2 linked regions of the Drosophila melanogaster genome follow. The protein of the gene in region 2 interacts with the protein of the main gene of each other region in a pairwise test. Each region holds a gene or a part of one and is shown on either strand. Other genes may lie near its edges.

What was found.
Region 1: the proteins of intr (region 2) and Galk interact in a two-hybrid assay, tested with the Drosophila melanogaster proteins (one large-scale study listed by BioGRID).

What each region holds. Positions count from the first base shown.
Region 1 is NT_037436.4:8,981,079-8,989,063, forward strand, and holds Galk (galactokinase), read right to left. Parts: upstream 5,014-7,985; 5' UTR 4,899-5,013; intron 4,739-4,898; exon of another isoform or gene 4,341-4,738; intron 4,231-4,340; exon of another isoform or gene 4,154-4,230; 5' UTR 4,148-4,153; coding exon 3,975-4,147; intron 3,909-3,974; coding exon 3,735-3,908; intron 3,590-3,734; coding exon 2,856-3,589; intron 2,659-2,855; coding exon 2,454-2,658; intron 2,396-2,453; coding exon 2,209-2,395; 3' UTR 2,026-2,208; coding exon of another isoform or gene 1,645-2,025; 3' UTR 1,134-1,644; downstream 1-1,133. Other genes in the region: CG13314 (uncharacterized protein), read left to right, coding at 1,645-2,025; CG5068 (uncharacterized protein), read left to right, coding at 5,807-5,880, 5,949-6,147, 6,207-6,316, 6,654-6,965, 7,021-7,245, 7,308-7,617.
Region 2 is NT_033777.3:28,788,028-28,793,112, forward strand, and holds intr (intrepid), read left to right. Parts: upstream 1-2,494; coding exon 2,495-3,391; 3' UTR 3,392-3,434; downstream 3,435-5,085. Other genes in the region: CG34295 (uncharacterized protein), read left to right, coding at 1,590-2,456.

The sequences.
Region 1 (7,985 bases), on a different chromosome or scaffold from region 2:
AACTTGTCAATCATTGTAATCGCACTACTACCTATACAGTGCACGAAATCGGGCATTAGTTGTGAAAATACATACATTTAATATGTGATTGGAAAATATACAAAATACTGTCAAAAATTTGTTATGTATACAATTTTAAATGGAATGATATTGTATTATATGAAAGTTATCCTTTTAAAAAGTTAAACATATAATATTTATTTCTGTGCTGCGATGAATAATCTTTGAATAATAATAAACCAATTGAGTTATCAATTGTTCAAACTATTGTTTTTGCGAGTATTTGTATATGGTGCACGTTGATATATATCTGTGCGACTTTTGCCATGCGTATAACGCTGCCGACTGGCAGTCCGACCTTTTTTGGGGGGCACTTTTATGGAGCATGAGAAACGGAGACAGATATCATTGCTTTTAATTGCCCAAGCTGAGCGCCTAGGCCTAGGTCAGTCTGTACCAGAATTGCAGTCCCCTCCGCTTCGCTCCACTCTACTCTACACTTCAATCCAATCCAATCCACTCCACTGCGACCATAATTAATTTAATAAAATGTAAAGCAGCAGCCTGGTCTGAAAAAAAAACTTGACTCATTCTCGGCGCTCAGAAGCGGCGCTTTGAGCGAGATTCGAAAATCGGTTGACTCACAGACTTGAGTTCAACTCGTTTTTGTGGCATTCAACGGCAAGCGAATAAAAGTTCGCCGTCTCGATATTCTATGATCAGTTTACAGTCTCAACTTCACCCAGGTGTTCCAGTTTCATTTGAAGTGCTTCTCTCGAGGATTAGCCGTTGAAATAAGTCCAGATCAAAGTGAGTGAGTGTCGTGTGTTTGTGCGAGTGGGTGCTTTTTGGAGAACCGAAATCCGATTCGGTTGTGTGGGATCGTAACCTTGACTTTGGCTGAATCAACGTATCAATTTGGACTTGGAATATGTAAATGCATTTAATGGCGCATAATAAAAATGCATGTACAGTGGCTGTGATCATTAAAAAGTAGAAAGGTTTAAAGAGTGTATAATCTAATAACGAATGTCACATTTTCAAGGATTATATCAGGGTTTCAGTTCGAAGTGAATATATCAAAGCCTAAAAAGGATGATCATGATTTAAATCAATTTCATTGCTAACGTATTCTTAATTAATACATTTGGTAAATGCATCTTCGATAATGTCATTATAACGTAAAATAAAAAATAATATTTTCACCAATCCTTATAGCAAATTACCCAATTGCAATTAAAATCTCAAAAGAGTTCTAGAGAGACCACTGTACTTATATCTCAAGCTACGATTGCTTTGTTGCGACCAAATTGGAGCACTCTACGCTTGACAAATAAAGCTCGCCATTTAGTTCGCGGCCAGTCCAATTCTTATCAATAAAAAAAAGCCAGTTCCAAGTTGCAAAAAAGTTCATGGATTAGCAACTGTAACAGTTTGAGCCAAGATCTCCGCGTTGCCCACTCCATTGGCCATATGCGATAATTGATTTTCCCGTACATAATTTATGACGCACGAAACTGACAGCCGACTTGTAGATTAAAAACTGCCACTGACCAGCGGCAATAAATCTGTCCGTATCGCTTTATTAGAACGTTGGACAATAATGCCAGCTCCTGCTCCTTTTCTCCCCTCCAGCAGCCAATCATGCCGACCGCCTGCCAAGTAACGCTGCTCGCTGGATGCCTGCTTCTGGCCATGAGTTCGGTTCGGGCCCAGTTCTTCTACCACCAGGCGCTGGGTCTGCCGGTTGCGCACGCTTACGAACCGGCCAATCCGTACCAGGGATATGCAACAGCCGATGCCCATCCCTCGGTGGTGCGAAATGCCCAGTGGGAGTCTGAGTTGCCGGCTGAGCTGTCGAAGAGTGCGCGGTTCTACAATGATCCCGTGATCGCTGCCAATCTGGCCAAGGAATCACTGCTCACGAAGAAGGAAATGGCAGTGGTACATCGTGAGGCGGAGAAAATACCGCGCGAACAGGTGTACAAGCTCTTCAAGAACGCCGGCTATCTGAGTAGCAGATAGAACTCACGATGCCAGATGAGTTCCGTTCCCCACGTGCCTTGTTGTATTTTAGCTTGTAAATTGTTAATATATTGTACATAGTACTCTACATATTAAATGTTTTTTCTATAAATGACCGTTTGATTATAGTGACTGATAGGATGATTTTGGTATAAAAGTTGGATTAAAATGCTACACAAGCGTTCACTGTATATACAACTCGGCTCCGTTTCCTGGTAGAGTGGCAAAGACCACTTCGCTAAAGTTGTTGGGCTGATGACGCTCCAGGAGATGTGTTGGCAATTGAGCATAGTAATCGCGCTTCAAAACCTTTATGTACTCATCAGCTGCTTCTATGGAATCGCACATGGCAACTATACAACCGCCCCAACTGAAAAAGAATAATGTTGATTAAATTCATAGAGTCACTAGGATATCGGTTTTCTTACCCAGCTCCAGTGACTCGGGCGCTAACGTTCTGCTGGTTCGATATGGCAATCAGGCGCTCTACATCAGGATGAGAGCATTCGTATAGCTCCCTTAAACTCTCGTGGGATTGCCGCATGAGCTCACCCAGCTGTTTTGCACCTTCCTTATTGGCTCCGCCGGCGAGTTCCTCACAAATTTTCCGGAATTTGGCCACGCGACCGGATTCTGTTAGGCGGAAACAATGTTATTAACTGATCTTGCAATTTAATATTATTTGCTAAGAGTTTAAATCTTTCGGACAACAAATGAATGTCAACGTATTATTAATTGACTGTAATTATTCATTTGGTGATCAATAAATTTAATGTACACGTAATGATTCAGATTAAATGTGAAATCCTGATTGTAAATGATTAACTTACCCTGAATAACATGCAGAGCACGTTGACGCAGCTTGAACTGCTCCATGTGCCGAGTGTTGGCGGATAGGAACTTGGTCTCCAGTTCCTGTTCGGTGACTCCCAACTCCTTGCAGATATCCGCTCGCGTGTAGTTGCTCTTCGTTAAGTTGTCCTTAATCAACTTCTCGAAAGTCTCATTATCCATTTGGCACGCCTCCTCTAGATCAATGAAGCGCACAATATCCTCCCAGTTGATCAAGCCCTTGCGCTTGGCCAGCCATCTAGTGGCCAATCGGCATTCCACCACTCGTTCATTGTAGTCCGACGAAGCAGCCTTGTTCTTTTGAGCCAGACTGTTGGCCACAACGAAGCACTTGCCCGCTGGCAAGGTCACCGGAGTGCCCTTGAGCTTGGGATGGAACTCGATGTGGTGGGCGCAGCCAACTCTGCCCAAATAGGCTATTGCCTGATCCATACCACCACTGTGCGTTCCAATGTACTGCTCACACATGGCCGAAATGGAAGCCAGCTCCCTGCGATCTAGTTTCTTGCCCTGGACGTGTGCGGTGGCCAACACAGCGGAGCTGACCATGGCACTCGAACTGGAGAGTCCTGCCGCCAAGGGCACATTACCGTCCACAGCAATGCGCATGCCAATGGGCTTCCACTGGCTGCCCAGACTCTCCTGTATTCCTTTGATGCCGCACAAGAAGTAGTTATACCAAGCGGGTCCACCACTCTTTGGAAGCTCGATTCTAAAATAGCAAAAAAATATTTGGACTTATCATTTCTAAATTCGTTTAGATACCGCCTTCAAGGTGACATTGTTATTATAACAAATTAAATGGAAAATTTTCTAGTGCTTAAGGTCGGTAATTATCATGTTTCTGATTCACCCACCTGAGCGTTTTGAGATCGGCATCGTAGCCCGTAAACTTCGCTTCCTCGAGATTTCTGAGTTGAAGCTGGCTATCACTAGGATTCTTGGCCACTGCAAGGAAAATGCTCTGGCTTACAGCCATGGGCAGCACCGAATAGCCGCAGTAGTCCACATGCTCGCCAATGATGTTGACCCTAGGAGAAGGAGGAGATATCATCGATAAGGGACTATAGATGTGCACCACGAGTGGAACTGCTCACCTTCCTGGCACTCGAACGATAAAGTCCGGATTCGCTCCGAATTGTTGTTTGAAAAATGCGGTCAATTGCTGCACGCGCCCGTAAACCTTGGATTCCGGCTGGAGCTTCTGTGGGGCCACGATTTCAATGCCGGCACCCAAATCCTGAGCAGTTCCGTTCCCGTTGGCAGTCATGTTCACCTGCAGGCGGGTGAAACTTTAATAATGCCCATTATTTTCGCAGTCGACGAACCGTAAACGTGTCGCAACTGGTTAATCTAAATTTATGGGCAAAAACAAATTTACATACGTAAACAAATAGCCGTGGCAAAGGGAAAAACAATTGCACCTGTGGTTGTGCAAAAATTAGCTTATCAACCCATCTCACCTTATCAATATGTCCAAATAGCTATTAGCACACAAAGTGATGTACTAACATTGCGGTTATCAGTTGGGGAAACGGCATCAAAGTCACTAAAACATTAGATTGACGCCAATTTGACCGCTTAATTGGGCAAAAAACAAGTACAAAAGTGCAATTTCTGCCGGTAAATGAAAAGGAAGGGTGTGCGGGAGCGAGAGGACTATAGCCAACAGCTGTTATTTAGGAGTTGCCAGGCTTGCAGAAGCATTAACCCTTGAAATGCGCAATGGATAAAGATTTTATTTTGAATATTTATCCGCGAAATTGATGTTTATGTCTAGTCCCAACTAATAGTAAATTATTTGGCAATAAAGTTCTTAGCTGGTAATTGTTTTTCAAAAGTACTACCGCTTAAACTTACTGCCGCATAATCTAAATAGACCATTAATGACAAACATGACATTTATCTTATCTCGAAACCATAAACTTAACCTGTATTGAGCTTACCTTTTGTTTACATACCAGAATAAACACAGATATAAAGGATTTTGTCAAGATTTTTACACTTTTGCCGATACATACCCAACAATGCCTTATCTTTCTCTGTTTGAGGTCAAATTAACTTGGTGCCGTCTTATCAGAGAGGAGTTCTAGTTTTCGGTGTGAGCACGTCGCGTTCCATCAAGCAACTGAGCAATCCGGCCCGTTCCGTTTCCGTTTTTGCTTAGTCCGGAATACTATGAACAATAAAGTGATACTTCCTTATCAGTAGCATTACTGAAATATAAATGCTCGGAGACCTTATAGAACACCAGTTTCCCAGCTAGCGATGTTGCACTGTGTGTATCAGTAGGAACTTGTTGAGAGCTTTGTTAGTTTATAACTAGCTGTCTTTACCGTTAAATGGGTCAAACATCTTCATAGCATATGAATTCTTTCTTGTTAGCATTCTAAAAAACTGGTTTCCAAATTTTGTCTGCTTTAAAAAGTGGTTTTGACATCCACTTTGCGAAAGGTTATTACCTTGCTTATTATTTTGCCATTAATGTGAAGTATTTACAAAGCTGATAAGGTACAAGTGTTTCGGGGAGCTCATCAATTTTTTCGTAGATAAACTTTTAAAATACTTAATTGATTAAAATGTACAAACATTAAAATATACAACTGTTGTTGTTTCAGTATGGTACGGATTTTCGTCTTTGATTGCAAAAGCCTAAAATATCCGTTTTGGAATTTGAAATGTTGACTGTTGCGGTTAGGCGTTGCCAGACAAGGGCATTGCCAAGTGCAGCTCTTGAACCAGCGCTGCCAGCTGGCGTCAGTTACGGTTTTCTCGATTACGGTCACACTGCAATACTTCTTCGTTGAATTGGAACTATTTTTTTGTTTTCGAAAACGGATAATTGCGAGCAACGACTGTGTGAATAACCACTTGCACCTGCACCGTAGGAGCACCACCTGTTGACCCCACAGCGAAGACAATCGGATCAATGTCGAGTTTACAGCGCACGATGTTGAAGGGCAAGCTGCCACCCACAATTCCTGGCGGGCGCATTGGCAGAGCGTAAGTGCAGGGTATTCTGCGACTGGAGTGGGGAGTACGCAATCTCTACCCAATTTGGCTAATTACAGGGACTCGTTCAAGAAGTCGCGCATTCGCGACTACAAGCCGGGCATGTGGAACGAATTCTTTGCGGAGAAGGAGGACGTCACGGTGGATGAGCAACGCACCTTCCGCATCTATCGCACCAAGCAACCGGAGAAGCCGGGTCCAGTTCTCCTTCTGCTCCACGGCGGTGGCTACTCTGCCCTCACCTGGGCGCACTTTTGTGTGAGTGAATGCGATATATTCTGTTAAATAGTCTTAACATGTACATATATCCATTTAAGTCTGAGGTGACCAGCATGATCCACTGCCAGTGCCTGTGCATCGATATGCGAGGTCATGGGGACAGCAAGGTGGACGACGAGGACGATCTCTCCGCTGATACGTTGGCTAAGTGAGTTGAATCCAAAAAAATATTGTTCTCAAAATATGTTTTAGAGATGGTTATGCAAATTTTTCTACTGCTTACATTAAAAACCAATATTTTTAAGATTTTGTCGAGTAAAACTTCTCGCATTAACTCTTAGCTTTATGAACGATTAGGCTAAACTTGCATAATCTCTTTATTTATAAAAATAGCGCACTGCACTTAAAGTAGGTCGATCTATTTGAACGATCACTCATTTGTAAATATTATTTAGTTTTTTATAGTTACTTTATTCACGGTTGAAGCTAAAAACCATAATAATCTAATCTATAATCTATAATAATGTTTAAAATATTCTAAACAGGGACATCGGTGACTTAATCCTGAAGCTCTATCCTGAAGAAGTGCCGCAGCTTTTTGTGGTTGGCCACTCGATGGGCGGCGCCATCGCCGTCCACTTTGCCCACATGGCTCTGGTGCCCAATTTGATTGGAATAACCGTCATCGATGTTGTGGAGGGCACAGCCATGGAGGCACTAGCCAGCATGCAGAGCTTTCTGCGCTCCCGTCCAAAGTATTTCCAGAGTATTCCGAATGCTATCGAGTGGTGCATCCGAAGCGGCCAAGTGCGCAATGTGGACAGCGCCAAAGTGTCCATGCCGGGACAGATAATAAAGTGAGTAGGATTGTCGTAAACGACAGAAAAGTAATAATAAATCAATCCCACGCAGTTGTACAACGAACAAACTGGCAACGAATGATCTGCCATTACCAGATGATGTATTGGAGGAGGCCCACCACAACAGTATGTTTCCCAATCCGTTTAGCATTTCGGAGGATGAAGAATCGTCACCGCCGGGCGATGACGCCGCCGATGGCTCCTCAGAAAGTGCCGCAGCTGGCGCGGATTTCAAGAAGCCCAACACGACCAAATCGACAACCGAAGCGGCCAAAAAGTACGTAGTCCAATTTATTTTATTTTAGTTAAAACACAAATTATTCATTGATTGCTTCTCAGTTACACCTGGCGCATTGATCTGTCCAAGTCGGAGAAGTACTGGGTGGGCTGGTTTTCGGGGCTGAGCGATAAGTTCCTTAACTTGCGCCTGCCCAAGCAACTACTCCTCGCCAGCATCGATGGACTGGACCGCACCCTGACTGTTGGCCAGATGCAGGGTCGCTTCCAGATGCAGGTCTTGGCCCGCTGCGGTCACGCCGTGCACGAGGACCGTCCACACGAGGTGGCTGAGGTGATTAGCGGCTACTTGATCCGGAATCGGTTTGCAGAAGCAGCCAGCGAATTTCGTTGCCACATGCCGTCGTGCTAAACACAACCACCCCCTGAATCCGAGGTTGAGCACAAACTGAGGTCACAAAAGTCTATTTTTGAATGGAGGTGCATTACTCTTTGAACTTACAGATGCGTGCATATATATATATATATACAAAATGTAGTGCGTAGGTCCAGATATATACAGCCGTATATTCTATATACACATAAACTAATAATCCAGTAATTTATTCGGTACTTTTAATTAAACCACTTGAATTTTCAACATTGTACTTTATACTCATTTTGCCAAAAATCTAAGGTCTAAAGTGCTTGCGTTTGGGCTTCTTGCATTGTTATAATGAGTGTGTATTAAATATGTGCCAGATCAAATGAAAATTTAACGAAATCCAAATTATACGAATG
Region 2 (5,085 bases):
AAGTTTAAGACAAGGTAAGCCAAATATAATATATATAATATTTAATCTTTTAGTGGTTATCTCAAGCTTGGAACGGAAATAAGATCATTCCGTGAGGCACGCTGACTACCGGCAAAAATCGTCGTGCTTGGAGCCTCAATGTTTCCTCCCAGTAGTGTCATAAAAAACCAAAAAGAAAAATATACATTTGTTTCCTGTGCACTAGGAATAACAAGAGCCTGGGATCTACGTAAGCCAGTGTCTTAAAGACAGCGTTTTTCCAGATCCATCTGGGACTTGTTTGGCCAGCTCACTACTCGCACTCGTTGTTTTTATTCAATTACCAATTCGAATTCGAATGCTGTCATAGCCTCACTCCAGTTCCTCGCAAGCAGCTGCAGCCGTTTGTCTTGCCAATTGGCCGAAGCCATCAACAAACCGAACCCAAGCGGAGCATTATTGTAATTCAGGCAGCTACCAACCAACCAACCACTCGCTCTCGATTTTAAATTGTTTGGAAGTAATAAAAAGTTTATCAAGTGTAAAGCGAAAAACAGCGCACGAAGCCCTTGACTTTCGGCACTCGGTGTTAATTGTTTGAGCTTTAAGTTGGGAAACGGTGCCACATTTCAAGGACCTGGTAAAGTAAAGCTCCCAGGGCTTTATTCAAGGCGAAAGTAATGCAAAACAATGGGCTCGAAAACCACCCACCAACACAATCACTAGCACAAAAGCGGAGAAAGAAAGACGCACAACAAATAAATCAATTGGCTTTGCCTAAAACGTTTGAAATTGATTTCAAGTTCTTTGGCCCATTGTTTTTATATGCAACAAAGGGACAATTTTTCATTTCCAACGATAACAATAAAAGCAACACAAGGTCCTTTTCATGGTGGAACACACTGGGATAGACACACACATGCGGTCGATCCCTGGGCATGTAAATTGGCCGCATTGTTTATGAGCTCTGCTATCCTGCGTGTCCTCCAGCCTCGTCCTTCGAGGGACTATTGATTGTCAATTCAGTTTAAGCGCCGCCCATAAATTCAGTAAATGAGCAGAGGTCCAGCCGAAGCTGCTGCCATTTTTCTTAATTTGCTGAAATGCACAAAAACAATTTTCGATTTCCACGAAAGACGCCCACATCGCGAATTCGAATTCAATGGTTGATAGTTTGCTATTATCCTTAATTTCTACAATATTTTTATTCTTTCATTTCATTTACCTAACACATTTTAAAATATCCTTTAGATAATCTCTAAAATATAGTCACTTGATTTGATTTAAAAACATTTTTAAAGCTAAACGATGAGGTAATATTACTTATCATTCTTAAACCCCCAGCCGGAGAGCCAAAAGGATATCGAGTTGCACTTCAAATGTTTGTGTGCCCTACCTTTGTTTGGTCATTAGACCTGACACGTTGTCAACACGCAACAACTGCCAACAACTGACAGCCGTCAACTGTTTATGTTTGCCATTTAGCAGGCAAAACATTTTGATTACGCATACGCCATGTGGATCGAAGCGACGTTTGTTGCTTTGACAGGCGCCTCGAATTCCATTCGCCCATAAATAAAAGTCATCTGCTGGTTATCAGTCGATTGGAGATGCATTCGCTGCTTGTTTGTGTTTCAGCGCTTTGGTTTTGTCAGCTTTGCGAAGCGGCGATTGGAGCTCAACTCTGCAAGGATTGTCGTGTGAATGTGATATATCCTAGTGGCGGAAGAGGCAACCATCAGTTGTCAGAAAACCGTCAAATAGTTAGAATCATCAACAAATACAAGCCAATCAGAAGGCAGGAACTGGAATATCAAAATGAGATCGGGATGAGCCACTTGCAATTCAGCTTTATTGCGAAGATAAAGGTGGGAAATGCGGTACGATGCAGTGCGGCCTTGGTGGCTCCCAGTTTGGCCATCACCTCCAGTAAGTGCTTTTCAAACGACTCTTTCAAACCGCTGCAAATTATCTTCACCGGCGGAAGAACTATCGCTGTGGATAATGTAGTCAAAGCGGATTTCTGTCCTGAGCTTAGCATTCTTCACTTGAAGAGGCCGTCTGAAATCAATCCAATTGCCCTATGCCAATATGACGTACCATTGGGCACAAGAGTATCAATGATGATGGCCACTTCGGATCTCAGATATTACGGCCGTCGAAGAACTGAAATAATCTCAAATCGTGCCTGCAAGACAACATTCCTGGAAGAGGATTCAGTTTTTATAACTCCCAGTATGCTGTGTGCAAAGAACTCAATGAATCCGGAAATGTGTGCAACTTCTCCAGGTGATGTCCTACTTATAGACCATCAATTATGTGGCTTAAACGTTTATGGATTTCGCTGTTTTCAAAATGCACTCAATGGTGATCTCTACATAAGTCTAGGCAAACTGCAGCCCATGATCGGCGATTTGATCCGGAAACTTAATGGTTTAAGTGAAGAATTTAAATCAGTTACGGGGAAAGAAACCTAATTGTTGTGATTTGAGACTGAATCGGTTGAAATGTCATAATGCAGCTTAGTCAGCTAGTCATAATATTAGCAGTCTCCCGAGGATCAGTTTACGGATCTTCTGAGACCGCTCCGCAGTTTAATGTGGGTGAAATACCCAGCAATGGACAGCCCTATCAGATAGTTCGTGTTATTGAGTATATAGTGCCCTATCCCTACCAGAGATCACCGAAAATTTCCGCTAGATTCTCAAGCGGAGGCAACAAAGAACCCAACAGCCTAGAGATAATTCCCGCTGAAATCGAGACTCTCCTTACCGATGGACAAGCCACAACAGAGGCACCAAAGGCAGTGAAGCATTTCGTTATGCGAATCCTTTATGAAAACAAAGTCATTTGCAGTGGTGCTCTAATCTCCACTCGTCTGGTTTTAACCTCCGCCCTCTGTTTTCCCAGGACTCTGCGTCAACCTCCACCTCGTTCGTACAAACTGCAGGCTAGTCGGAGTCGGATATATTCGGTGGCCAATCTAATTACCGGCGCTATTGAGGACATGGCCCTATTACTGCTCCACGCTCCACTGGAGGATCCCTTCGTCCATCCGATTGATCTCTGCGAGTCACCTCTCCGAAGGAATGACAATGTAACCATGTACATGTCACAGCAACATCTGCGTTTCCTGCGCACCAAACTCATTCCCAATAGCAATTGCAAAAGGAGCTATGCCCAGGATGAGAACGCCTTCATCACGCAGACCATGTTGTGCGCCCTTAATTCAAACCGATTGGTGGACTGCCAGACGGCAAAGGGGGATGTCCTCCTCCACCAGGATCGGTTGTGCGGAGTGGACATTTACGGGCAACACTGCTCCGATGGTGGTGTCAATGGAGAGCTGTATGCGGACGTCTTTAAGGCCCGGACTGAACTGATGCACTTGATTGAGCGTTATTCGAATTAAATGATTTAACAGGGAAATTGCCGAATAAAAAATACATTAACTTAGTTCCTTTCCAATGGTTGTTGAATAAAAATTTTTCAATAACATCTGAAAGTTAGAGAGTGAACATAGATTTACTGTCGCGATTCAATGTTCGTGCGCTGCCCAAATCGAATCAATCTCACTAAACAAACACTGAAAACAAAAGGGCAAAAAAAATCGCAAATAAAATCAGGGGATGCCGCCTTCTGTTGGTCGCGGGCAAAATTGAAAGTCGCCACCAACAAAATCAGAGAAACACAAAGAGCACAAGCGATGTTTTTTTAACATTTTATTTTCTTTCAATTTGCGGCTTAAAAAGTTAACTGTTTCCATCAAAATGCCCTGAACTGCAATGACTATGATGTATGTAAATTTGAGCGAAAAAACAAATGGCAAAAAACGAAAATTGCGAAAAAAAAAACACACAATAAGAGACACAAGCGCCACCCAAACCCTCTAAAATCATCATGACAGGAAAAAGGTGTTACACTTGGCTTGAAATTTACACCGTCGATGGGCGGGGCAGCAAGGGGGCCTCTGCGGCAAAAAGAGGAAGAGATGGAGTCCTGCGAAAAAAAAACCCAAAGCTTCACCGGCGGCCATGGATACGTAGCTGGCTTTTGGCTTTGCCTTTGCGCTAAAATATGCAATTTTGTCATGAAATATGCACATGTCCACCGCGCGGCAAGGACGAACCGTCGTGACACCCACCGCCACCCACCTACAGCAGCACTATCAGCGGCGGCAACAAAATAAATTTAAAAGGCAACATACATAAATAAATTAAGCATTTAAAAACCCAGCGGGAATAATGAAAGCTATAAAAGGCTTAGGCAGTGCGAGTCTGGAAGTGCCCTTTACAAGGATTAAGGTAATTATAAAAAACTTAATGGGAGGTAGGTATGAAACGCTGCCAAGGAAAATCTTTGCCATATAAAATGACAGCGAATTAAAATAGCTCTTCAATTGAGGTGAAGACAGGAATGATATATGTACAGCCCAAGATATAATCCAATCAAAAATTGACCAAATCAGCTAAATCTATAGTGCATCCAGAGTATCTATGCGGTCTAGAGAAAAGTTTCCATAACTTTCCCACCAGCCACGCCCACCATTTGACATTTAAATGCAACGAAGCCTGTCGAAAATGTTGCCGCCAACATCATCGCGAACAACTAAATTTATGTACATAGAAATTAATATTAAAGAAAAAACGAACAGCGTGTATTTGTATAAAATAAAGGATGCCATAGTGGGTGATGGTATTGGTGCGACACGGGATAATATTGCAATTGAAAACAACAAATGGCATGAAAAAACTTCAACACTAGTTTGATGATAAAAACAATAAAACAAATATATATTCCATTTGACTAAAAATTGCCGCCCCGTGGGAATTCGCGGGGCTAAAGCGACACCCCCAAGCCAATTGATCCACTTTAGCCACTTCGCCCCCGCTTTTCAGTGACCCGCTGACCTACCGCAAATATGGGAGATGAGCAATCGAGTGGACGTGTTCACAGAAGTCGCGGATAAAACAAAAACGTAATTGTGATCCATCACAAACATTTGCGCAGATCGTGTGCTTATCTCACAAACAAAATCTATTTTTAGTCACTGCATAACGGTGACGGCTTCGGTTCGCGAAACTTATCAGCAACTAGCAATTTCTA